Saccharomyces cerevisiae S288C: one gene and its partners. The protein of the gene in region 1 purifies or fractionates together with the protein of each later gene. This does not show direct contact. Each region holds a gene or a part of one and is shown in the gene's direction. Other genes may lie near its edges.

Region 1 (11,758 bases):
GGACCACTATGCTTTGCAGTAGGGATATTAAGTGGACTGAACTTTGATTGATCAAAGAAGTGTACTTCTTTTTGTAATGTTGAGCTTGACGTTCCGAAGTTGTCTTCTCATCTTTCTTGACGTTATGTTTTTGGTCATAGTCCAATTTCCATTTAACCAAATGTGGGAATAAGATCCATTTGCCAAAAAGAAACCAAATATGGTAGAATATAGCAACATAAAAAATTGAGTGCAAGTTGGAGAGAATCGCTTCCGACTTGATTATATTGCGATTTGCCAAGAACGGAATCACCGTGGTCTTAAATAATTCCGGTTGAGGAAGCGACAATAAAACATCCATTTTTTCTTGTAGGCAATGTTCACCTTCGTGCTTGAATTCCTTCCGGGGGGGGGGGCAGAAGCTTGAGATAGAGGAGAGGTCTTCTTCTTTTTCTTTTTGATCTGTCCAACAAACGTTTTTTCTCTCTCCTTGGCTTATGTTAAATATGCCCTCGGGAACTGCTCGAAAAAAACAGGAAAAAAACCGCGTTGAGAAAAAGTACCAACAATATGAAATTTTTCGTTTATTTGAGCATTTGTTGTGCCAAGTATAATCAAGACGATAGAGTAGGCTGCTTTTAAAGTTAAATCAACGAATGTTCCATTTCACATAAATAAAAACTACACATAAATAAAAGATTAGCGCAATTAAAAGGAGAAAAAAAGTAAGAAACTCATCCTATCAGTAAGTCTTGTTCTTCTCGTTGGCATTCTTGGCATCGTTGTCTGCTAAAATCAAGGCTGCCCTTTTTAGCTGGACAACGTTTGCGGTCTGCTTGAACACGTAACCAGGGAAACTTATGATTGTAGTCCATTTACCAAAGGTTGCAGAATTTGAGAACAACTGCAAGTACAATCCAGCATAAAATAGTTCGTTAAACGCACAGATAGTGAACAGTACGTCTCTTCTCGTGTAGTACAGGTGTAACAATCTGGACTCACCCTCGCCCACACTTTTATGAGAAGTCTTACCAGCACTTAAACTGGCATACATATGCATGTAGTGACTAGTAATATCCAAGCCCAGCATTAATTGGAAGAAAACGCACCATTGGGGATACTGCACACAAAGGAAACACATCAAGCCAGCGGTACTGGATCTGTCGGTAACCATGTCCAGAACGGCACCCAGACTGGAAACCTGATTGTACTTTCTTGCCATGGTTCCGTCTAGCGCATCCAGTAGACATGATGTACTATACAACCATGTAAAGGCCGTAGGATGATTCTTCATAACGAAAAAAGAAAGGGCGGCGGTGATAACACGAACATAACCGATCTTATTGGGAATATACCACAGAACGTGTTCTGCAGTAACCTTTTCTGGTGTTGAATTCGAACTCATCTTGTACTATCACACTTTCCCTCTTATTTACATTACTTGAAGGCTCCACAGTGACGGCAAATAAACCATACCACCTCTCATGTTTTTTATGTTTTACTTATATACTAAAAGTGAAAAATCCTCGAGACGGAAAAAACAATAGGAGGGGCTTTCCCTATTGAGAAATAATTTCCGTAATAGGGATTTACGTGCGGAGCGACGTGAATTTTATAAAATGAAAAAATTTTATGGAAATTTAGAGCTCATCTCATCTCATCTCATCGGTACTTCATATGCAAAGACTGCAACCTGAACTGAGATTTAATTTGAGCCTCAAGCACAAGATAACATAACTAACATGTCCCGTATCATTGTCAAGGGTTTGCCCGTCTATCTAACAGATGATAATCTCAGGGAGCATTTTACAAAAAGATTACGTCAAAAACATTCCCATCAAGCAGTTAATGGTAGTGGTCCAGACCTCATAACAGATGTTAAAATTCTTAGAGATAGGAACGGAGAAAGTAGAAGATTTGGATTTATCGGATACCGTAACGAGGAAGACGCTTTTGATGCTGTAGAGTATTTCAATGGCAGTTTTATCAACACTTCTAAGATAGAAGTGTCCATGGCTAAAAGCTTTGCAGACCCAAGAGTCCCGCAGCCCATGAAGGAGAAGAGAAGAGAAGCTCTGAAAAGGTTTAGGGAAAAGGAAGAAAAATTGCTACAAGAAGAAAATCGAAAGAAAAAGAAAGTGGATGAAAATAAGCACAGCAACATTGATGACGAGATTCGCAAGAACAAGCAATTACAAGAGTTCATGGAGACTATGAAGCCAAGCTCACAAGTCACATCATGGGAAAAAGTTGGCATTGACAAGAGCATAGAGGACGAAAAACTAAAACGGGAAGAAGAGGACTCCAGCGTGCAAGGGAATTCTCTATTGGCTCATGCATTAGCCTTAAAGGAAGAGAATAATAAAGACGAAGCACCAAATTTGGTCATTGAGAATGAAAGTGACGATGAATATTCGGCTCTCAACAGAAACAGGGATGAAGATCAAGAAGATGCCGGAGAGGAAGAAAAGATGATAAGTATTAGCAATTTGAAGGATACTGATATAGGTTTAGTTAATGATGACGCTAATAGTGATGAAAAAGAGAATGAAAAGAGGAGAAACCTCGCCCAAGATGAAAAGGTTTCTGACCTAGATTGGTTCAAACAACGCCGTGTAAGAATCAAAGAAAGTGAAGCGGAAACAAGGGAAAAATCATCATCATACGCTACTGAACAAAATGAAAGTCTCGATACCAAGAAGGAAGAACAACCAGAACGTGCTGTGCCGCAAAAGACGGACGAAGAACTGGCTATTGAAAAAATTAACCAAACTGGCCGTTTATTCTTACGTAATATCTTGTATACCTCCAAAGAAGAAGATTTCAGGAAACTATTTAGTCCATTTGGAGAGTTAGAGGAGGTTCATGTGGCTTTGGATACCAGGACTGGTCAATCCAAAGGATTTGCATACGTTCTATTTAAGGATTCTAAGAATGCAGTGAACGCCTATGTTGAATTGGATAAACAGATTTTTCAAGGAAGACTATTGCATATTCTTCCTGGTGAAGAAAAAAAAAGCCATAGATTAGATGAGTTTGATTTAAAGAATATGCCATTGAAAAAGCAAAAGGAATTGAAAAGGAAGGCAGCTGCATCCAGACAAACATTTTCTTGGAACTCCTTGTATATGAACCAAGATGCTGTTTTGGGTAGTGTGGCAGCCAAATTGGGTCTAGAAAAATCTCAATTGATCGATGCTGAAAACTCAAGTTCGGCTGTCAAACAAGCTTTGGCTGAAGCCCATGTTATTGGTGATGTTAGAAAATACTTTGAATCCAAAGGTGTTGATCTGACCAAGTTTTCACAGTTAAAATCTACAAATCAAAGAGACGATAAAGTGATACTGGTTAAAAATTTTCCTTTTGGGACAACTAGAGAAGAGCTTGGCGAAATGTTTTTGCCATATGGTAAATTGGAAAGATTGCTCATGCCACCAGCTGGTACAATAGCTATAGTGCAATTCAGGGACACAACGTCAGCAAGGGCAGCTTTCACTAAACTATCGTATAAAAGATTTAAGGACGGCATAATATATCTAGAAAGGGGGCCTAAGGATTGCTTTACTAAACCAGCTGAGGCCGATGATTTGATAAATAACACTTCTGCAAAAGAAGAAGAAAACCCGGTAGAGGTAAAACCTTCATCAAATGACTTAATGGAAGCAAACAAGGATGTAACTGAAGGGTCATCTAATGCTCATGATGAAGACGTTATTGATGGTCCAACTGTCTCAATTTTCATAAAGAATCTAAACTTCTCCACGACGAACCAAAATCTTACTGATAGGTTCAAGGTTTTCACTGGTTTTGTTGTTGCCCAAGTGAAGACAAAACCTGATCCAAAACATCAAGGCAAGACCTTGTCAATGGGGTTTGGTTTTGTAGAATTCAGGACCAAGGAACAAGCTAATGCCGTGATAGCTGCAATGGATGGGACGGTAATCGACGGCCATAAGATTCAATTGAAGTTATCCCATAGACAAGCATCTCAGAGCGGTAATACAAAGACTAAATCCAATAAGAAAAGCGGTAAAATCATTGTTAAGAATCTTCCATTTGAAGCTACTAGGAAAGACGTTTTCGAATTATTCAATTCTTTTGGTCAATTAAAATCTGTTAGAGTTCCAAAGAAGTTCGACAAGTCTGCAAGAGGTTTTGCGTTCGTGGAATTTTTACTTCCAAAGGAAGCAGAAAATGCTATGGATCAGTTGCACGGTGTCCATTTACTGGGCCGCAGATTGGTAATGCAATATGCAGAAGAAGATGCAGTTGACGCTGAAGAAGAGATAGCCAGGATGACAAAGAAGGTTAGAAAGCAAGTTGCCACTAATGAGATGGCTGCCTTAAGAAATGGGGGCGGTAGAAAGAAACTGGATGTGGATGATGAAGAAAACGAAGGTTTCTAGTTTACCCTATCAGCTTATCGTATTTTTCTTTCATAATTTACATTTTATTTGAATATATAAATCATATTACTACTTTAATAGCATAAAACTCTTCAAAACATCTCATCCCGAAAAAGATTACTAAACTTAAAAATTACATGTTGCCTTGGTTTCATAATTTTGGTAATCATTCAAAATGGAAAATGTTAGCACATCTTGTTGCTGTTGTCAATGTATCTGTTATGCTATACAAAATTAAATTGTAGGGACGTAATCTTAATAAAAAGTTGAAAAAGGGTCTGAATGTTCTGAACCATTGTAAAGTATCCCGCTTGAACCTTGTTTTCCATCTCTATGCCTAAAAGTAAATCCAACAAGCTTGGAATCAACGGCAGAGTCATCGACCATTGCAGATAATTTGTTCTGTCTTTTGAAGACATCTGCATATTTAGCCATATCTTCTTCATTTGTGAAGTCATCGAAATAACCTGCATCCGTTTCATCATCTAATTGAGGAATAAATGGTGGAGAACTTGTTCTTAGGGTTTCAAAATTGATCTCTGCGAAATAAGACATTTTGCGAACTTGCTCAAAAGATCGTACTCTGTTGATGGGGTCAGCTATTAGTCTTGTAATTAAATCCCAGGTTCTATCTGAGAATGCTGCTCTTCTATCCTCAGTACGGGGCCTTCTTAAAGTTTTTTTCCAATATCTTAAATTCTCGTAAGTTTCATTAGTAGAAGAACCACTAAAAGGTGTATATCCAACCAAACTTTCAAAAAGCATACAGCCTAATGACCAATAATCCACTGTAAAATCGTATTTTTTACCTTCCAGAACTTCTAGGGCCATATAATCAGGCGAACCGACCATAGAGTTAGCGTAATTAATTTCTGTCTTCCTCATGTTATGATATATTTTCCTTCTATCCTCGATAGACCTTTCTGTGAAAGCAGGAAATTCCAAATTCTTTACTTCTTCTAAGCGTATTTTCATGCTTTCGATTCTTTCATTTGATACGGTCCCTGCTGCTAGACCAAAATCGGTCAGCTTGATATGCCCTGTAGCATCAATCAAGAAATTCTCCGGCTTTAAATCCCGGTGAGTGTAACCAAGTTCATGCAACGCGTTCACGGCACAAAACATTTCGCTGATATAGAACCTTGCGTGACCGCTCTTCAATATCCTTGTATTTATTAACAATGTGCGAAAATCACCACCAGGTACAAATTCCATTGCTAAATATAGGCTCTCTGGATCCTGAAATGCATAAAGCAACTTCACAAGCCAGTCAGATCTAGTTGTGGTTAGTATGTCCCTCTCAGTAAGGACGTGATTCGTCTCGTTTAGTTTGAATAAAAGTTTCTTGTTTAATATTTTCAAAGCACAAATTTCATCACTGTCTTTTTTTTTTGCAAGATAAACTTGCCCATAACCACCCTGTCCAACTTGTGTCAGTATCTGAAAATCCTTGTGCTTAGGTTTCAACCTCCTTTTTCTCAGTACTTCGTGTTCTCTTTGCAAATACAAAGCCCATTCTTCATTTAAAACCTTATTAGAAACGTTTTTGACACTTCTTTGCTGTTCAAGATATCTTAGCACCTGCTTCGTACGTTGTCTTCTGCTAATAACATAATCAAACATGTCACAGTAATAGTCGAGAAAGTAAAGTTGGCATACATTAACAACTCTCTGGGTTTTACTTTGGGAAGCACGCTCGTGAAAATCCTTGGGTAGCTTCTTCGGTGAGTGATTCAATGAAATGCGATTTTTGAAGGTATCTTGATCATCTGAATCACACGGCTTATATGATCTTGGAAGTCCGGGAGTTAATCTTCCATTTTCGCTCTTTCTAGCAGGCCTATATTGCGCCTGTGGAGAAGTAGGTTTAGGAATATTCAAATCATAGAACCCTAAATGACTCATATTACCAGCCAAATCATCTACCTCTCGATCACTTCGTGAAAACATGACTACCGAATTATTGTTGAATACGATATTCTGGGTTGCTAATCACTATTGGAGTTACAAGTTTGTTGCGACAATACAGTTCATCATGATCTGTGATCTAGCCGACTACAGGTCCATTGATTTGTGTTTACTCTCAAAATCTTGTATGAGGTGTATGGGTTAATTATCCATTCAAAGACAAAAATTTATGATCTTGGTGTTTGTATATAAAAATTAGTCAGAAGACATGCTTATTCTTGATTTTATATTAATTAGAAAGAGATGTTGCATTATCCCATACTTGTCGTTTGTCTTCTGCTACAATACATTGTGCTTTATGTTGCAAATATTTATTAATTCCGTTTATAGTGACTTGGATTCACAAAAATTTTGTGAAAAAATTATTGCGATGAGTTGAAAGAAAAAATTTCACTCATATTATGTAGAAGAGCAGGTATCAAGTGCATGAAAGTAAGTAGGTGAAAGAAGATATGTCAAATATTGTGGGTATTGAATATAACCGTGTAACGAATACAACCTCCACGGATTTTCCTGGTTTCTCGAAGGATGCAGAAAACGAGTGGAATGTGGAAAAATTCAAAAAGGACTTCGAAGTCAATATTTCGTCATTAGACGCAAGAGAGGCAAATTTCGACTTGATAAACATTGACACATCGATTGCGAATGCCTTTCGTCGTATAATGATTTCCGAGGTTCCATCCGTGGCTGCTGAATACGTCTATTTTTTTAACAATACATCCGTTATCCAAGATGAGGTTTTGGCTCATAGAATAGGCTTGGTTCCATTAAAAGTTGACCCTGATATGCTCACATGGGTTGATAGTAATTTGCCGGACGATGAAAAGTTTACGGATGAAAATACTATCGTTTTGAGTTTGAACGTGAAGTGCACAAGAAATCCAGATGCTCCAAAGGGATCTACTGATCCAAAGGAACTATATAACAATGCCCATGTCTACGCCCGTGATTTGAAGTTTGAACCACAGGGCAGACAATCTACCACTTTTGCTGATTGTCCGGTTGTTCCAGCTGATCCTGATATTTTATTAGCTAAGCTAAGGCCTGGTCAAGAAATTTCGTTGAAGGCACATTGCATTTTAGGTATCGGTGGTGATCATGCTAAATTTTCACCAGTTTCCACCGCTTCTTATAGATTATTACCTCAAATCAATATCTTACAGCCAATCAAAGGTGAAAGTGCCAGAAGATTTCAAAAATGTTTTCCCCCAGGTGTTATTGGTATTGATGAAGGTTCAGATGAAGCGTATGTCAAAGATGCTAGGAAGGATACGGTTTCCAGGGAGGTTTTAAGATACGAAGAGTTTGCTGATAAAGTTAAATTAGGAAGAGTGAGGAACCACTTTATTTTCAACGTAGAAAGCGCTGGTGCCATGACACCAGAAGAAATTTTTTTCAAATCCGTCAGGATTTTAAAGAATAAGGCTGAGTATTTGAAAAACTGTCCAATTACCCAATGATCCTACTTTGCATACTAATAAAAAAAACACAGTTTGAGAAAAATATTAAATACTTAACCTCAGGGTCTTTATCTTTGTATAATCTTTTCTTCTAGTATTAGTAGAATTGGCAAATCCTACCAAAAAAATACAAACCCATGAATCGTCATAGATAAGGAAATGTAATAGAATGATATATGTAAATGTAACTCTCTATAAAATAGTGCCGATAACAGTAATATGCATTACCCCTTATGGACTACATATATATACTATTAGACAGAATTGCTAGCATTCTCATTGTTGTCATTAATATTGCCGTCATTTAAAATGGCATTCATGGTTTTATTTAATGGTATTCGTGCAACTATTACAGAGCCATCGTAGCCATCACTATTTACAGGTTCTAGTCTTTCTGGCTCTTCAAAATCTAAATCTGCCAATACAACACATGTTAGTGAAAATAAAGTAAACTGTACAATAAGTATGCTAAATTCGAACATTACTAATCCAAGATTGCCGGAAAAGTTGCTCTTTGGTAGCCGTTCTCCGATCATCTGTAGAAAAAGCCCACCTCTTCTCTCACCCAAAAGTAGACCATCTGAATTGGAAAAGGGTGAGGGAGTATTCTTAGGGCCATCGTCTACTGGCTCGCTACCACTCAGGGGTTCAAAAAAATCAATTGGGAATAGGATTGTTAAGATAATGAAAAGCATATTCAACGATAAGCAACCATGAAATAAAAACTTCCGGATTTGCTTTTTCATGGACACAATAGCGGTATCATCATGGTCTTGTTGCTCAGCTTCACTAGAAGAATTATAAAGCATTTCTGTTCCAAACATTCCGGGAAACCTGATAGATCTTCCGCCTGGAAGTGTTGCAACCCCCGTCGTGTTATTATCTGCACCGAGGGTCGCTAGCCTACGTAACTTGGCATCACTTGGAAAAGGAGAACTTATGAGAGATTGCACTATTGCTCTTGTTATAAGTGTCCAGACGGTACGATCATACTTGATATATTCCAATGATATTAAAACATACCCGAGAAAGCTCAAATTATTCACCAAATTTCTTTGGAAGTTTCTTTTTCGTAGTTCGTATACTCGTTTGTTTCCTATACTTAAATTTCCTTCAGCAGTACTTTCAAAATTATCCATTATTATATTGGCCTTATTGAAAACATAGATTAGTTTGCTTTTGGCCTGCTAATGGATGACAAATAGCGTGCTTAGTATTTTTAGGCTTCCGCAGTTTAGCTTTATTTGATGATACGTCAAGAGTGCGGGATAATGTAGGTTCAAAAGGATCAAATTGTGTTTCGTTATATATGATTTCCTTGCAATAACTATAGAGAAGGAGAACAATATAACCTTGTGCATGAAAGCATCATAGTCTTAAAGAAAAAATTTAAACTAAAATGCAGAATCAATTCTCATGGATTTTTTATATAAAAAGAAGCTAAATAAGTGTTAACTTTAGGGAAAAAATTTTGCCACCTGTCAGAATTGAACTAACGACCTTTGCATTACAAGTGCAACGCTCTACCACTAAGCTAAGGAGGCTTTTACACTGTAGGGTATCCTCCAAGAAGGGACAAAGTGTCTGCATGGAAATTTGCAGCCGACTTCTCTTAATGTCTGTAACACTTAAACTATCATGGAGTGATTTCATTTCAACGATATCCCTAAAAGCGAACCAGAAGTGTTTTAGTTGAATCGTTTATTGGCTAGAACACTCGAATACAACGTATTAAACAAATGAAGAAACAATGACCGTATCATGAATTTCCTTTTATGGGGATTCCTTTTTCTGGTTATACTACTTTTTAAGAATTGGCATTTTCAGCCTTAGATTCCTCACTTTCAAAAGAAGCATGGTCCTTTATGAGACATTGCAATTATGTAACTTTCCGAACTAAATACTGAAATTTTTAATGGAAGCTTGAAAACTATAGAAGCTCTCCGTTTTAAAGGAGAAAGAGGATGATTACAATCCTTTGACTTGAACCGATCCATATATCCTCTCACTACTATTTACTCAAGTCTCCAAACTATGTATACATGTTGATGTGATTATGTGCGTTGCTAAATAATGTAAATTCCTCAAACACGATCTGACCCTGTCAATCTCACTGCTGCACCGTATTTTTGTAATTTTGTTAGCAAACCGTCACCTTGCTTAACTAGCAGATGGTATTGAGCATTTTTGTTGTCTGGCCTGTTGGTCTCTACGATCCCATTAACTCTATCAATGACACAATTTAGTTGCTTATTTGGAATAAACTTACCCAGGTCGTTATCCAAGAACGCAACCGAAACACCAAATGCGCTTGCCATAGATTTCAGCGACAAAGTCTTATATGATTCCAACAATTGTGCGTAGACTTTTCTTCTCATTTCTCTAACAAAGAAATCTGCATGTCTATTCAAATATTTACATGGAATCAAAACATTTGCATATGTTTCCAAAAGATATGGAAAGTAACTGGCATAATCGGACGCGTAAAGGGAAATTGTTAACGACGAGATAGATTGTAGTGCGGCAGTTGTTGAGATTAAAGATAACAATTCAGGTGAATCGATGACTTTGGATTTTAGGTCTGTTCTTTCCAGAGTGAATAAACCTGTGACCGATGCATATGTGGCAATGCTTTCATAGGAAGTTAATTCAATAGAGGTGAAAGTTGCTAGAGAATCGACCAATAACTTTGCCGCTTCCTTAAAGTTTCTTACGGCCAAGCAGTGGATACCATAGTATGTTTTATATCTATTTCTTCTCTCCCAGTCACCACCTTTTTCAATCATAGAATTGACTGCTTCCAACTTCTCCTTAACATAAAGTTGGTCGTTATAAAAGAACCCCAGCCTTGCAATTGTTAGCATAACATCAATTTTGGCGCCTGTGGAAATAGCCTTCGATAATGATTTCCCTAGCGTCTTTTCAGCATTATCTTTGTCACCGATTTGTGCATAATATTCACCCAGATTAATCCAGGCTTGAGCTTGTTCTAGTTCACCTTCATCATCTTCTTCCAATTTTTGGATCTTTTCATTTAACTCTTTAATCTTACTTTCATTTTTTTTGCACAATTCATTGTATAGCTCCTGGTCAAATTTGATCCATTCGTTTAAAGAATCTGACTTTTCATCGTGTTCCAAGTCAGATTGGCCATTATTAACAAGGTATTCCTCGCAAAGATATTTATAATAAGGGGCCATTTCTTCCTCTTTAATTTTGGCTAAAACGAACTCTGCCGCTTCCTTACGCTGTTCAATACTAACCTTTGATTGTGTCAAAAGAAACGCCTTTTCAGATACCTCATAATTGGGCACCCTATTCACCGTTGGATCAACATATTCAACTTCTTGACTTTTCTCTTCCACGTCTACCATTTTGCCGTGTTTATCCAGAATTTTTGCGTGTATTAGTAACTATTGTAACAGTGGTAAAAAGCGCAGTTTACTACAACAATAGAGATTTGTGTAGTGTTAACAATTAGGTTTTTCAATGCTGCCTTGTGTATATTAATCCTCAATGGGTGGCAAACTTAACTTATTCGGAAACTTGATTGAGCATGCATTTACGCGCCGTCGGTTATGATATGGGGAAAACAAGTGTTATTACAATAGTCCACTATAACTTTTAATAATTATATAGAATGCACTGTACTTTGTTGTTCCAATCGCTTCAAAATATCACATTTCTGAATTATAAGCTAAAGATTTCTGCACTGTATCTTAAACAAGTATTCTAGGACGAATAAAATCAATAAGTTTATGTAATGAGCCTAATTCACCCCGATACAGCAAAATATCCTTTTAAATTTGAACCTTTCCTCAGGCAAGAGTATTCGTTTTCACTCGATCCTGACAGACCTATTTGTGAATTTTACAATTCTAGAGAAGGCCCTAAATCATGTCCGAGGGGACCGTTATGTCCAAAAAAGCATGTGTTACCAATATT
Region 2 (4,158 bases), on another chromosome or scaffold:
TTCTCCCCGGCCGTTGATGAAATTGACCCGAACGACTACTTTATTATGGACTTTTCTTTAAGACTATACAATGTCAAAGCCGAAGTCCCTCTGTTCACTTCTGGCTTAACGTATATCAATAGTGCATTGATAAGGCCTATTGTCGGGTACATCAATTCTCACAGGACATACATCCCAATCAAATGCCGCATTGTAAAGAAAAAGTCTGATTTTGAGGGCTCCTGGACCATATATGATTCATACCTTATGCGGGATCTAAGTGCGGAAGCGTACGATGCCTTCGCCGACTACGTCGCTGACGATGAAAAGAGGACATTACGCTTGAGAAGGGTGGGCTTTTGGTCACTGCAACTTATACTCCAGGTGATTTTGATGAGTCTCGGTGCTATCGCGTGAGGAATACCTACTCCTGTCACTTTCTGTACATATGCATTTACATAGCATCGTTCTTTCTATCAGTTTATCTAATTTGTGACGCATCTTTCTTCTTTCTACACTGCGGAAAATCCTATTTGAAAAAAAATAGACGAAAAATATCAGGACCCACCCCCTTATGAAGGAGAGAAGGGGAAGAGGAGCTGCAAAACAAAAAGGTGAGGCTTCTTCTGTCCAGATTTTTGTGAGTGAGAGAGTGTGTGGGAAGAGAAGGAATTAAACCAAACAAAAATTGGAACCAACAACTGTTGCGTTTGCGTGTGTGCATAATATCAAAAAAGCTACAAATATAATTGTAAAATATAATAAGCATGACTCGTCCCCCATTGGTTCGTGGAATCTTTTCGTTAGGTCTTTCTGTAGCCGTTTTGAAAGGTGTTGAAAAAACAGTTCGTAAGCATTTGGAAAGACAGGGATGGATAGAGCCCCAGAAAGTGGACTATGAGTTAATTTTCACTATAGATAGGTTGAAAAACTTGGTAGATAATAAGCGTGAGGCTTTAACTGCGGAACAACCCGACGCTGGTGAACTGAGCTGGCGTAAAGTATTTAATTTCATTTCCAGACAATCCAGCGAATTGGACACACGAATATACGTTCTTATACTACTCCTATCCTTTCTACTACCTATCGCGTGGACTGTACTGGACGGTGATCGCGAGACCACGCTAGAAGATAAGGATAACGATTGTAATGTAGATCTTATTGAAAACGAAAGGAGGCTGAAGCATTACAACGATGGTGAAAGAGCAGTATTGCAATTTGGTAAAAATAGATCCGAACCTATTATATTAAGCTATAAGGACATGAACGTTTTGGAAGGGGAACATGAGTTTACCTCCAAAGAGGAACACAGTAACAGCCATTTGACAAGCAAGAGCGAAAATGCACTAAACCAAGTAGGGAGTGAAGATTTGTTAGGTTGTCACCTGGAAAAGCAATTGGAAGAAGACAAAAATGAACCGAATGGAGAAGCAGACGGTGAGGATGATAATAACCGGGAAAAGGATTGCAGCTCCAGTTCAGAAGTTGAGTCGCAGAGTAAATGCCGAAAGGAAAGTACTGCAGAGCCTGACTCTCTCTCACGGGATACCAGAACAACCTCTTCCCTTAAATCAAGTACATCATTCCCCATATCATTCAAGGGCTCGATAGACCTTAAGTCGTTAAACCAGCCTTCATCATTGTTGCATATACAAGTATCTCCCACAAAATCTAGTAATCTAGATGCACAAGTGAACACTGAACAAGCATACTCTCAACCATTTAGATACTAATGTACTATATTTCCGTCATCTCGGTTATCATCGTCACTTACAACGAGGTGCGAAAATTTTTTTCTTCTAAAGGTGAGAAGAAAACATGAAAAATTTTGAAAAATTTAACGATGAGATGGAGTTTTCAAGTAACTTTATGTAGTTGAAATACATATTAGTACTCCGTTGCAATATATAACGCCGGGCATTCTCCACGTATATACATACCGTAGTGCACAATGGGCTCCTCTTTGGATTTGGTGGCGAGCTTCTCGCATGATTCCACTCGTTTTGCATTCCAAGCAAGCGTCGCACAAAAGAACAATGTGGATATTTATCCATTAAATGAAACTAAGGATTATGTGGTCAATAGTTCATTAGTGAGTCATATTGACTATGAGACAAACGATATGAAGGTTTCAGATGTAATCTTCTTTGGGTGGTGTAGTGATTTGATAGATACGCAGTCATCCAATATCAAAAGAAAATTAGATGAAGATGAAGGAACTGGTGAATCAAGTGAGCAAAGATGTGAAAACTTTTTCGTTAACGGATTTCCTGACGGAAGAATTGTTGTTTACTCTTCTAATGGTAAGGATATAGTTAATATCATCAAGAATAAAAAAGAGATTTTGGGAGCAGACACAGACGAGTCTGATATATGGATTTTGGATAGTGATAAAGTCGTTAAGAAATTACAGTATAACAATTCGAAACCTCTAAAGACTTTTACGCTAGTTGATGGTAAAGATGACGAAATAGTTCATTTCCAAATTTTGCACCAAAATGGCACTTTATTGGTATGCATTATTACTAAACAGATGGTTTATATTGTTGATCCATCAAAGAGAAGACCCTCTACTAAGTATAGTTTTGAAATATCAGACGCTGTAGCATGTGAATTTTCTTCAGACGGTAAGTATCTGTTAATTGCCAACAACGAAGAATTAATAGCTTACGACTTGAAGGAAGATTCAAAGCTGATCCAATCATGGCCTGTCCAAGTGAAGACATTGAAAACTTTAGATGATTTGATAATGGCTTTGACTACTGATGGTAAAATTAATAATTATAAGATTGGCGAAGCCGACAAAGTTTGTTCTATAGTTGTAAATGAAGATTTGGAAATTATAGATTTCACGCCAATAAACAGCAAGCAACAGGTTCTAATTTCATGGCTAAATGTCAATGAACCCAACTTTGAATCTATTTCTTTAAAAGAAATTGAAACTCAGGGGTATATTACAATAAACAAAAATGAAAAAAATAATGCTGATGAAGCGGACCAAAAGAAATTAGAAGAGAAAGAAGAAGAAGCTCAGCCTGAAGTTCAACATGAGAAGAAGGAGACTGAAACTAAGATAAACAAGAAAGTTAGTAAATCAGATCAAGTTGAAATTGCTAATATTCTCTCATCGCATTTAGAAGCTAATTCAACAGAAATATTGGATGATCTGATGTCTGGAAGTTGGACAGAACCAGAGATTAAAAAATTCATCTTAACCAAGATCAATACAGTAGATCATCTAAGTAAGATATTTTTGACTATATCAAAGTCAATAACACAAAATCCATGGAATGAAGAAAATTTACTTCCGTTGTGGCTTAAGTGGTTGCTGACTTTGAAAAGTGGGGAGTTAAATTCTATAAAGGATAAACATACAAAGAAAAATTGCAAGCATTTAAAATCTGCATTAAGATCTTCAGAGGAGATCTTGCCTGTTCTACTCGGTATACAAGGTAGATTAGAAATGTTGAGGAGGCAAGCAAAATTGAGAGAGGATCTTGCACAACTATCTATGCAAGAGGGTGAAGATGATGAAATAGAAGTTATAGAGCATTCAAATGTAATTAGTAATCCTTTGCAGGATCAAGCATCGCCTGTTGAAAAGCTTGAACCAGATTCAATTGTTTATGCAAATGGAGAAAGTGACGAATTTGTCGACGCATCGGAATACAAAGATTGATCAAGCATTTTAAATATATTTAAGTATATACAAAGAAAAGTTTCACATGAGAAGCACTGATTGATGCAGCTATTAATTTTCAAAAGATTACGTTGTCTTCATCATTTGAGACGGGTCATCGCAAGAAAATTTTTCAATATTAAACTATAATAAAATGTAGTAAAAAATAGATGCAATACTACTATTCAATTTTTGTGGTTTTCCAGTTATCAAACTAAGTATAGACAAAATTTGAGCATGTCAGAGGAATTTATCGCAGTTTCTACTTTGGCTAGAAACCTGGAAATTGCCAAGGGTAATGAGTTTCATACCATTTTGGCGACTTTAAGATCACCAGTTTATATCAATGAACAGCTGCTAAAATCCGAATTGAGCTTCCTTGTTACAAAAATCCTAAAACTTATCAGATCAGGCAATGACTTTGATCTTTGGAAAGGATGTCACACCTCTGTTGTGACTTGCGCCTATAATCCACTGGTCTTATCGACTCATGGAGGTCA
Region 3 (11,297 bases), on another chromosome or scaffold:
TCCCACGTACCTAAATGGTCCTTTTCGGTACAACTTGCTGAAGAATCACTGTGTGGCGGGTAATGCTCTCTTTATACTTGCATTGCGAAAATCCGCGATGATCAAAAATCCAAACAAGTACTGTCCTGAAAGCCGTCTTTATACACATAGATATATATATATATATATATATATCTGTATCTATAGAGCGAGAGGAGATATAGAGCCAGCAAAACTAAGAAAATTACGTACTTTGATATGCCTAGCACGTTTGAATCCCAGCTTTTTTTTTCGAGACCGTTTCTGTCTAAAAGGCAAATTCAAAGAGCCCAAAAGAATACAATATCGGACTATCGAAATTACAACCAGAAAAAACTTGCCGTGTTCAAATTTCTAAGTGACTTGTGTGTTCAGCTGAAATTTCCACGGAAGACTTTAGAAACAGCAGTATACTTTTACCAAAGATACCACCTCTTTAATCGCTTCGAGACCGAGGTTTGCTACACTGTAGCGACAAGCTGCCTGACTTTGGGCTGTAAAGAAGTTGAGACAATTAAAAAAACAAATGATATATGTACTTTGTCATTACGATTGAGGAATGTGGTTAAAATCAATACGGACATTTTGGAAAATTTTAAAAAAAGGGTATTTCAAATAGAACTTCGGATATTAGAGTCATGCTCATTCGATTATAGAGTCAACAATTACGTTCATATTGATGAATATGTTATAAAAATTGGTAGGGAGCTATCCTTTGATTATAAGTTGTGCAATCTGGCTTGGGTAATTGCTTATGATGCTTTGAAGCTAGAAACTATTTTAGTCATACCCCAACATTCCATTGCATTGGCCATTTTGAAAATAGCATATGAATTACTAGATAATAAGAATTGGTCAAGTAAAAGGTATTCTTTATTTGAAACAGACGAGAAATCCGTAAATGAAGCTTATTTTGATATAGTCAATTTTTACATCAATTCATTCGATATGTGCGATCTACAACGTCATTTACCGGCTGATTTGCTGCCGATTGGCGTTGAAAGGTTTATGGAACTGAAAAAAAACGCAGGACCAGAATCTGGATTGCCGCAAATACCAGATCACCTGTTGAATGCCGATCCTTATATCACTATTACTAGAGATAATAATGTCCAAGAAAGAAGATATGTACTTTCACTGGAGCTAATTAATGGCGAGTCCAGCATAAATAGTTCTACAAGACATGCATAGAAAGTCCTACTATAAACTTAAATAAGATCATCATTATAAACTTTCTTTTACACAAGTAATAAGTACCTTTTTTTATCTCAAAACATGAATGTTGAGCTTCGAGGTTTAATTCACAAAAAAAGAAAATGTGCTCCAGGGGAGGTTCGAACTCTCGACCTTCAGATTATGAGACTGACGCTCTTCCTACTGAGCTACTGAAGCATACAAAGGATGTTGGGGAAGAAAAACAAACTTTACATCAAATATTTGCGGATTCCATGGTTATTAAAGGATATAGCACCGGGTATACAGGACATACTAGAAGTTCTCCAGGGGATCTTGTAATCCACAAAAGAGAATTGATATTTTCACATAATATTGTCATTATTGTTTCCCCAATTTATATGATATCATTCATTATTCTGTTACACTATCAGTCCTGGCATTTCAGCATCTATTAAATCTGATGACTGTTTTCTCAATCTTCATGCCATCTTGGTACATCGTACATGATAATATATTAGTAATATGAATACTATTCGATAGATTATAGTTGATCCTCATTAGGACATCTATCGTAACAATGGGAATGTTCATATCATACATTAATTTATACGAGTTGTTCAGACAGTAGTATAAGGCAAAGATCTTTTACTTGAAAGGTTAACTTAAAAATTTTGGATATAGAAGTCATTATACTAGGCGCGTAGTATTTTACTGATGTGTTTCCAAGCTAGGGCATACTGAATATGTTCTCTGGGCGCGTGTTTATATGCTTTTCTTATATACAATAAGAAAAGTTTACTTCTATTCTCGGTAAAAACATTCTTACGGCTTGACCACTATTGATGGATATGGTTTATTGCTCATAGGTAGAGGTCAAAAAGCTTTATTAATGAAGATTGAATATCGATCTTCTTAGACTTATATAAGGGGGATATAAAACACACGCCGATTGGTTCATTCCTAATTGTGACCAATGTAATAGTGGTTCCGGCAGTTCTCATACATTTAATGTGAAGACCTGTATTGCTCATATATATGACTATCAGATCATATTCAAATAATGGATTTTTAATTCTGCTTCGGTACTGTCTGAACTGCTTCTTGAACATTTCCTTCTGTAATAGGTACATTGACAGACATATGCGTGGTGTATACTAGCATAAAATGTAAGCATCGAAATTGTTACCAATTGAATTCATGTTGATATCTAATGATCACTTGTCCGAACATTTTGTATTATTAATCAATAAAGAAGCTGCCGGATTTAGATAATTAAAGAGTTGCGAGCACATTTACTATTTCAATAGCTTATTTTATATAAGCCAAGTTAATGGTGTTTTTGTCATTATTAACGGTATTCGAAAATGTTCATCACCTCCGCTAGTGGCAAAAAAAAGTGAAGAAAATAGTATAGCATGATGATGTTCTCACTTTACAGATACCGACAAGACAACTTGAACCTCAAGGGCAATAAAATCATCAATTAACCATGTCACTTAGATTGCCACAAAATCCCAACGCGGGATTGTTTAAACAAGGCTACAATAGTTACTCTAACGCCGATGGCCAAATTATTAAATCAATTGCGGCCATTCGCGAATTACATCAAATGTGTTTGACTTCTATGGGACCCTGTGGTAGAAACAAGATCATTGTTAACCATCTCGGTAAAATCATTATTACCAACGACGCGGCCACCATGCTAAGAGAACTAGATATTGTCCATCCTGCAGTGAAAGTCCTCGTAATGGCGACTGAACAACAGAAGATCGACATGGGAGACGGTACAAATTTAGTCATGATTTTGGCTGGCGAACTATTAAATGTGTCCGAAAAACTGATTTCAATGGGCTTGTCTGCCGTTGAGATTATTCAAGGTTATAATATGGCAAGGAAGTTTACTTTGAAAGAACTAGACGAAATGGTTGTTGGTGAAATTACTGACAAGAATGATAAAAACGAACTTTTGAAAATGATTAAACCAGTCATCTCCTCCAAAAAGTACGGATCTGAAGACATATTGAGTGAACTTGTTTCTGAAGCTGTATCTCACGTTTTACCAGTTGCTCAGCAAGCTGGAGAAATTCCTTATTTTAATGTTGATTCTATCAGAGTAGTAAAGATTATGGGTGGATCGCTTTCCAATTCTACCGTCATCAAAGGTATGGTTTTCAATCGTGAGCCTGAAGGCCATGTAAAATCATTATCCGAAGATAAAAAGCATAAAGTTGCAGTTTTCACTTGTCCGCTTGACATAGCCAATACTGAAACGAAAGGCACTGTTTTATTACATAATGCACAAGAAATGCTCGATTTTTCTAAGGGCGAGGAAAAGCAAATAGATGCCATGATGAAAGAGATTGCCGACATGGGCGTAGAATGCATTGTTGCAGGTGCTGGTGTTGGTGAATTGGCGTTACATTATTTGAATAGATACGGTATACTAGTCTTGAAGGTACCAAGCAAATTCGAATTAAGAAGATTATGTCGCGTTTGTGGGGCCACTCCATTGCCTAGATTAGGTGCGCCAACTCCAGAAGAATTAGGTTTAGTGGAAACTGTTAAGACAATGGAGATAGGTGGTGATAGAGTAACTGTGTTCAAACAAGAGCAAGGTGAAATTTCAAGAACATCTACTATCATTTTAAGAGGTGCCACACAGAATAATTTGGATGATATTGAAAGAGCCATTGATGATGGTGTTGCAGCCGTCAAGGGACTAATGAAGCCATCAGGCGGTAAGTTGTTGCCTGGTGCTGGTGCTACCGAAATTGAATTGATTTCTAGGATAACTAAGTATGGTGAACGAACACCTGGATTGCTACAGTTAGCTATAAAACAGTTTGCCGTGGCTTTTGAAGTGGTTCCTCGTACCCTAGCGGAGACCGCTGGTCTTGATGTTAATGAGGTACTACCAAACTTATACGCTGCACATAACGTAACTGAACCTGGTGCAGTTAAGACAGATCATTTATATAAAGGTGTGGATATTGATGGCGAATCTGATGAAGGTGTAAAGGACATCAGAGAGGAAAATATTTATGACATGCTTGCAACGAAAAAGTTTGCTATTAACGTCGCTACAGAAGCTGCAACTACTGTGCTTTCCATTGACCAAATTATCATGGCAAAGAAGGCGGGTGGTCCAAGAGCACCTCAAGGCCCAAGGCCAGGTAACTGGGACCAAGAAGACTGATTTGTTTGCATCTTTATACTTACAAAGTAGATATACCTGCAAACAGCAGAATATAATGTCATAAATTGCAATCAAGTTTTCAAACTTGCTAGGCTGTATCATGTGTACCTGTATAGTAGTAAAGATATATATAATGTTTGAATTTTTGATAATGCAGATGTACTGTATACATTAACCAAGAAGCAACCTGCAAAACCGACGAACTCTTGGCCTGTATATTTGTTCGATGATTGTAATACTTTTTTTTTTTTCAATTTTTTTTCGGTTAGCGAGAATTTTCATGCTCATCTACAATATAATGAAGAAAATTATATTAGATGAGCTGCGATCTGTTACAACTAGTATACTGTGAACGACGCTGAAACCTTCACGGAAAAACCACATTATTGTTATTATGGGAAAGACTAAAACAAGAGGCAGAAGACACCAAGACAAACAGAGAAAGGACGAATTTGAACCCAGTTCAAATTCTGCGAAGGAGCACATCCAGCAAGAAGAGTCTACTTACAATGACGAAGCCGAAATTAAAGAGACTCAGCCACAAATGTTTTTTGGTGTGCTAGATAGAGAAGAACTGGAGTATTTCAAGCAAGCCGAATCGACTTTGCAATTAGACGCCTTCGAAGCACCTGAGGAAAAGTTTCAATTCGTCACGAGCATTATTGAGGAAGCAAAAGGTAAAGAACTGAAATTGGTTACTTCCCAAATAACTTCGAAATTGATGGAACGAGTTATTCTTGAATGTGATGAGACTCAGTTAAAAGACATTTTCCAATCTTTCAATGGCGTTTTCTTCGGGTTGTCATGTCATAAATATGCTTCCCATGTTTTAGAGACTTTATTTGTTAGAAGTGCCGCCTTGGTAGAAAGAGAACTTTTAACACCAAGTTTTGATAACAATGAAAAAGAAGGGCCTTATGTGACTATGGAAAATATGTTTCTCTTTATGTTGAATGAACTGAAACCGCACTTGAAAACTATGATGAACCATCAGTATGCATCACATGTTTTGAGATTGCTAATATTAATTTTGTCTTCCAAGACATTGCCTAATTCAACTAAAGCGAACTCTACTTTACGTTCCAAAAAGTCAAAAATTGCAAGAAAAATGATTGACATTAAAGATAATGACGATTTCAATAAAGTTTACCAAACACCGGAATCTTTCAAATCTGAACTTCGTGACATAATAACTACTTTATACAAAGGATTTACTAATGGTGCCGAGTCGCGTTCTGATATTTCGCAATCTACTATCACCAAATTTAGAGAGTACAGTGTGGATAAAGTGGCTTCCCCTGTAATTCAGCTCATTATTCAAGTCGAAGGTATTTTTGACAGGGACCGTTCATTTTGGAGATTGGTCTTCAATACAGCAGATGAGAAGGATCCTAAGGAGGAATCATTCCTGGAATATTTACTGTCAGATCCTGTCGGTTCTCATTTCTTAGAAAATGTGATTGGCTCTGCCAGGCTAAAATATGTTGAAAGACTTTATCGTTTATATATGAAAGACCGTATTGTGAAACTAGCAAAAAGGGATACTACAGGTGCCTTTGTAGTGCGTGCATTGCTGGAACATTTGAAGGAGAAGGACGTAAAACAGATATTGGATGCAGTAGTTCCTGAATTAAGCATGCTTTTAAACTCAAATATGGATTTTGGTACTGCTATTATCAACGCAAGCAATAAACAAGGTGGTTACTTAAGGGATGATGTCATTGCTCAATTAATACAAAAATATTATCCAGAAAAGTCTGATGCAAAGAATATTTTGGAAAGTTGCCTGTTGTTGAGTGCATCGACTTTGGGCAATACCAGAGATGACTGGCCAACAGCAGAAGAAAGAAGACGATCAGTTTTCTTGGAACAATTAATTGACTACGACGACAAGTTTTTGAATATTACCATTGACAGCATGTTGGCTCTGCCTGAGGAAAGGTTGATACAAATGTGTTACCATGGAGTATTTTCGCATGTTGTTGAGCACGTACTACAAACTACTAGGGTGGACATAATTAAGAGAAAAATGCTATTGAACATACTGTCTAAAGAGTCTGTAAATTTGGCATGCAATGTATATGGCTCTCATATAATGGACAAATTGTGGGAATTTACGGCAAAATTAACATTATATAAGGAGCGTATTGCTAGAGCATTAGTTTTAGAAACTGAGAAGGTGAAGAATAGTATTTATGGCAGGCAAGTGTGGAAGAATTGGAAACTGGAATTATATGTTAGAAAAATGTGGGATTGGAAAAAACTAATTAAGGAGCAAGAATTTGAAATATTTCCAAATTCTAAACCGCTACAGCCAAAGCCAGAAAAGCACTCAAGAGAAAGAAATAATTCGAAGGAAGGAAGCGCCTTCAAAAAGCAAAAGCACTATAGATAATTGGATAATATGTTACTACTGTACTGATGTAAATTATAGAATTATGCAATATTTTCCTCTTAATAAAAAACCTTAGCTTAAACATTATTAAGGAACACTACAAAGAATTTTGCAGATTTTTAAAAGTTGTCAGTTGCTACGATATTGTATGAATAAGTTGGCGATATTTTTTATATTTAGTTTACTTTCCAGTCAATTCTTTCCGCCCTTTGCATCTATAAATTTAAATAGAAGGATAAAAAAGTGGTTATGAATAGGTAAATAATACTAGAGTAGGACGATAGAAGTCTGTATGAGTTACGGAAGCTTGTAAAAAACCTCAGAGATGCTCACAAATTGTGGTATTCTATACAATGACTGCCATCTTTTGATATTTATCGAAAATGTTACCGTCCCACGTCTAGATGAAAACAGTGATAATTTACTACCATGAAAGCAATACGCACATAAAGGATATTAATTTTAGGGTCTCTTGATGCACTATCATGAAATTTGTAACATGCTGACCTCCTAGTATCCCGTGAATATGTATATTTCAGAAATAGCCGAATATTAAGAAAATTGTTCGTATTCCATTGTTGTTAAGGGCTACAATATTAGGGATACAGAACATACTACGAGTTCTCCTCGAGAACATAGAAATCCTTATATTAGTATTAGTAAAGGATTTTATTATTTATTGGTAACTACTAAGTGTATTTATTAAAGATAATATTCAAAAGTAATTGTATTGTTGCGTTTATGAACAGAGTGAGACAAGTATAAGTATGTTATTATAATATCATACATACCATTGAATAAATTATTTTAATGAAATGGTTATGTTTATATACTCACAAGGGAATCGGTATTTCTTACATAATAGTATTACTCTGTCTTCGTTCCTTTTATACATTGTCATTCAACACCCTATCCTATTACATTATCGACCTTGAATTTCGGCTTTTATTAAGTCTGATGACTATTTCTCATCATTCATGTCATCTTCTTACAGATATGATAATATACAAGTAATATGAATGCTAGATGATAGGTAATAGTTGATTTTTATTTGAAATAGAATCTTCAATGATCGCAGTGGATCTTTTAAAAACTTGGCGAGATAGTGGTAGGGTTCAAGAATAAAAGCAGATCTTCTTATACTATACAAAAGAGGTGTAAAACATGCGCCGATTAGTCATATCAAACATGACAAATATAACAATACTGAGACTATTTACTATAGTTTCTATGTAATGACCCATATCCTTACATATACAAACGTCAAGTTAATTGTTCAAGTAACAGATATTTAACTTTACATTATCACATAGTCTATATCGTTCTCCATCCTGACACATCAATGACGTTTGCGTCTAATTGCTTCACAATTACAAATTCATCAGTAATAAAGAATAGTATGTCACTATTCTAACAGATAATATGCCAGTAATATGACTACTGGTCAATATTAAGCATAACTGTAAGACTGGATTTTGTAATGTCACCTATTAGAAAATGTTAGCCTAAATTTTCAACAAAAGTTGAAGCGGTGGCTCAATGGTAGAGCTTTCGACTCCAATTAAATCTTGGAAATTCCACGGAATAAGATTGCAATCGAAGGGTTGCAGGTTCAATTCCTGTCCGTTTCAATTTATTTTTTTATTTTTTTTGCACCATATCGTTCATGGTGATTCTCTCTTTCCTAGCCGCCAATAACGTCGTAACAATACCGTCCTCTTCCCTTTCTCTTGTTGCAGATTAGGTCTGAAACGAGATAAAAGTCTTACAGAGAAGTCGGCAATGCATACTTACTAAGAGCATGCATTCTAAAGTATGCTTCGTGCGTTTTAGGATAGATAAAGTATCATTTAATTCCGCTATTTGTGAATCGTTAAATGTCACAGGCAAATCGACATGTTAATGATCTTACGACAGAGTAGTTTATGCCGAGGGTTACTTATATTTCAACTTGTACATCTCTTAGTCTTGAATATCCGGCACAATTTTCATTATTTTGCTAGTGCGTGGATCCTTTGGCGCTGACACTAACCGGTAAATTGTACTTTCGTTCATCTTTCCTTGTCATAAACTCTTCGTCAGTAATTTCTTTAGCAATAGAAGCTAAAACAAGCTTATTAGCAAACAGTTCGTGTACACAACTATGAGCAATCCATTACATTAAAAGGGTTTACTGTATAATGTTATATATGTAGCATGAATTATAAAATGGTCCTCCCAATCATTTTGATAGGTTATTCTGCGGAATGATCAAGCTTTTCTAGATTCCTTCAGATAATATCATATGTTAAGGAGAAGAACAATTTTGCTTAATCAAACTTCTGGTCACATGAGTTGAACAGAATGTAACCTTTTATTGATAGTCTGCAGTCTGGTTCTCCACGAACTACATATACTATTTCTATTTACAAAATAGTGTGATATTTCACCTTCTATGAGATGAAATACAAAAGAAAGCTTCGCTGCAAGGTTGAAAGATAATTAGCACTTATTCCTTGAATAAGTGGGCAAGAAAAAAATATTAGCCCTGTAGGGGGCTCGAACCCCTAACCTTATGATTAAGAGTCATACGCGCTACCGATTGCGCCAACAAGGCTAATTCGTTGAAAAATCCTTCAATTCCTGAAAATTATACCAAGTAAAAAAAGGAAAATTGCCTGAAAAATTATTTTTTTCAATGCCATCGATCTATGAAAGTTAAGCAAATAACAGCCACAGTAGAAGAGAAGTTGAGTGAATCCAACACCCACCACTGAAAAAATCGACACTTAAACAAAAAACTTTAAACGTTATGAAAGTTCTTGAGGAAAGGAATGCATTTTTAAGTGACTATGAAGTCTTGAAGTTCCTAACAGATCTAGAAAAAAAACATCTTTGGGACCAAAAAAGTTTGGCTGCGCTGAAGAAAAGTCGCTCGAAAGGTAAGCAGAATAGGCCCTACAATCATCCTGAATTGCAAGGTATTACTCGCAATGTGGTTAACTATCTCAGTATAAACAAAAACTTTATCAACCAGGAAGATGAAGGCGAGGAACGAGAAAGCAGTGGTGCAAAAGATGCTGAAAAATCGGGTATAAGCAAAATGAGCGATGAAAGCTTTGCTGAGTTGATGACTAAACTGAATTCTTTTAAATTATTCAAGGCTGAAAAACTGCAGATTGTCAATCAACTTCCTGCCAATATGGTCCACCTTTACTCCATAGTGGAGGAGTGTGATGCAAGATTTGACGAAAAAACAATTGAGGAAATGCTAGAGATCATCTCTGGCTACGCATGAGTGTACAGTGCTTTGAATTGATTTGGACTGGCACTTCCGAAAAACAGAAATTACTTTGTTGTGTAACAATATAACATGTTCAATGAGTATGCATGTATTATTGAACTTAAGCATATAGAAATATTTACAAGAATATACTTTATTTTTTAGAGTTTATTGCGCACACTTTGGGTTAGTCTCGATTTTTTTTATTTCCATTGGAGGAAGGTTATTATTTGGAAATTTAGTGCTGCGTTATAAACGTCTGTAAAGCCAGTACCACAAGCAACTTCGGTGAGATTTAACTTTTGTTTATTCTGTATTTTTGTCGAGGCTTAAAAGGGTATACTAGTTGAGGGCGTTACAGTAATCCCTTCATGGCAAGAATAAAGTAATAGTTATATAATAATTGTCATACGCATTGTTATACCAGTTGACGAGTAAAAAAAGACGCACCGTGACTTCAAGAGCTGTCGCAAACAAGTTCGACAATATTTAACTTATAAACATATTAAAGCTTTCAAAAATATAGTCTTTCGAAGAGCTTTTTCATACTAAGAGAAGCGTTGCTAATATTCCGAATTAATCACGCAATTGCCTCTCTGCTTTCCACGTAACCCATCATAGGAAATTGTATTAATATGTTACTTACTGGAATTGCACAGGAAAACACCGACAAAAAATTGGTTTGTCTGCGTTTTGACGGAGAGCTACTGACTTGTAGGTTCACTTTTTCACACACCGCACTATGCATATATGTTGCATTTTTATTATTCATCCGCACGTGGCTGCACACGTGAATGAAAAAGAAGCAATACTATCTTTATATATTGAGGCAATCAGAAAGAAGTTACAGGCTAACAATCAAATCGGCCAATAAAAGAGCATAACAAGGCAGGAACAGCTATGAAGTTTGGTGAGCACTTGAGCAAGTCTCTTATTAGACAGTACAGCTACTATTATATTAGTTATGATGATCTGAAGACTGAGCTAGAAGATAACTTATCTAAGAATAACGGTCAGTGGACGCAAGAATTGGAAACAGATTTTTTAGAATCTTTGGAGATCGAGTTAGACAAGGTTTACACATTTTGCAAAGTTAAGCATAGTGAAGTTTTTAGACGTGTAAAAGAGGTTCAAGAACAAGTGCAACATACTGTTCGTTTGTTAGACTCCAATAATCCTCCTACTCAGCTAGATTTTGAGATTCTAGAAGAAGAACTAAGTGATATCATTGCCGATGTTCATGATCTAGC

The links.
Region 2: the proteins of MRD1 (region 1) and UTP9 purify together in Saccharomyces cerevisiae (affinity purification with mass spectrometry; 2 studies listed by BioGRID). This does not show direct contact.
Region 3: the proteins of MRD1 (region 1) and NOP9 purify together in Saccharomyces cerevisiae (affinity purification with mass spectrometry; 3 studies listed by BioGRID). This does not show direct contact.

Annotation. Positions count from the first base shown.
Region 1 is NC_001148.4:741,883-753,640, reverse strand, and holds MRD1 (RNA-binding ribosome biosynthesis protein MRD1), read left to right. Parts: upstream 1-1,721; coding exon 1,722-4,385; downstream 4,386-11,758. Other genes in the region: ALE2 (Ale2p), read right to left, coding at 1-340; PIS1 (CDP-diacylglycerol--inositol 3-phosphatidyltransferase), read right to left, coding at 722-1,384; serine/threonine-protein kinase DBF20, read right to left, coding at 4,641-6,335; DNA-directed RNA polymerase core subunit RPC40, read left to right, coding at 6,806-7,813; GLD1 (Gld1p), read right to left, coding at 8,068-8,952; proteasome regulatory particle lid subunit RPN7, read right to left, coding at 9,898-11,187; cleavage polyadenylation factor RNA-binding subunit YTH1, read left to right, coding at 11,577-11,758. UniProt on the Saccharomyces cerevisiae protein: Involved in pre-rRNA processing. Required for maintaining steady-state levels of 40S ribosomal subunit. Required for the initial processing of pre-rRNA at the A0 to A2 sites, leading to the processing of the 23S pre-rRNA intermediate to the 18S rRNA.
Region 2 is NC_001140.6:490,001-494,158, forward strand, and holds UTP9 (Utp9p), read left to right. Parts: upstream 1-1,930; coding exon 1,931-3,658; downstream 3,659-4,158. Other genes in the region: MDM31 (Mdm31p), read left to right, coding at 1-396; NVJ1 (Nvj1p), read left to right, coding at 747-1,712; RIX1 (Rix1p), read left to right, coding at 3,896-4,158. UniProt on the Saccharomyces cerevisiae protein: Involved in nucleolar processing of pre-18S ribosomal RNA. Required for optimal pre-ribosomal RNA transcription by RNA polymerase I together with a subset of U3 proteins required for transcription (t-UTPs).
Region 3 is NC_001142.9:413,050-424,346, reverse strand, and holds NOP9 (RNA-binding RNA processing protein NOP9), read left to right. Parts: upstream 1-4,784; coding exon 4,785-6,785; downstream 6,786-11,297. Other genes in the region: CTK2 (Ctk2p), read left to right, coding at 238-1,209; YJL007C (uncharacterized protein), read left to right, coding at 1,335-1,649; chaperonin-containing T-complex subunit CCT8, read left to right, coding at 2,684-4,390; DNA-directed RNA polymerase III subunit RPC17, read left to right, coding at 9,577-10,062; VTC4 (Vtc4p), read left to right, coding at 10,948-11,297. UniProt on the Saccharomyces cerevisiae protein: RNA-binding nucleolar protein required for pre-rRNA processing. Component of the 90S pre-ribosome involved in production of 18S rRNA and assembly of small ribosomal subunit. Component of the pre-40S ribosome required for release from the nucleolus.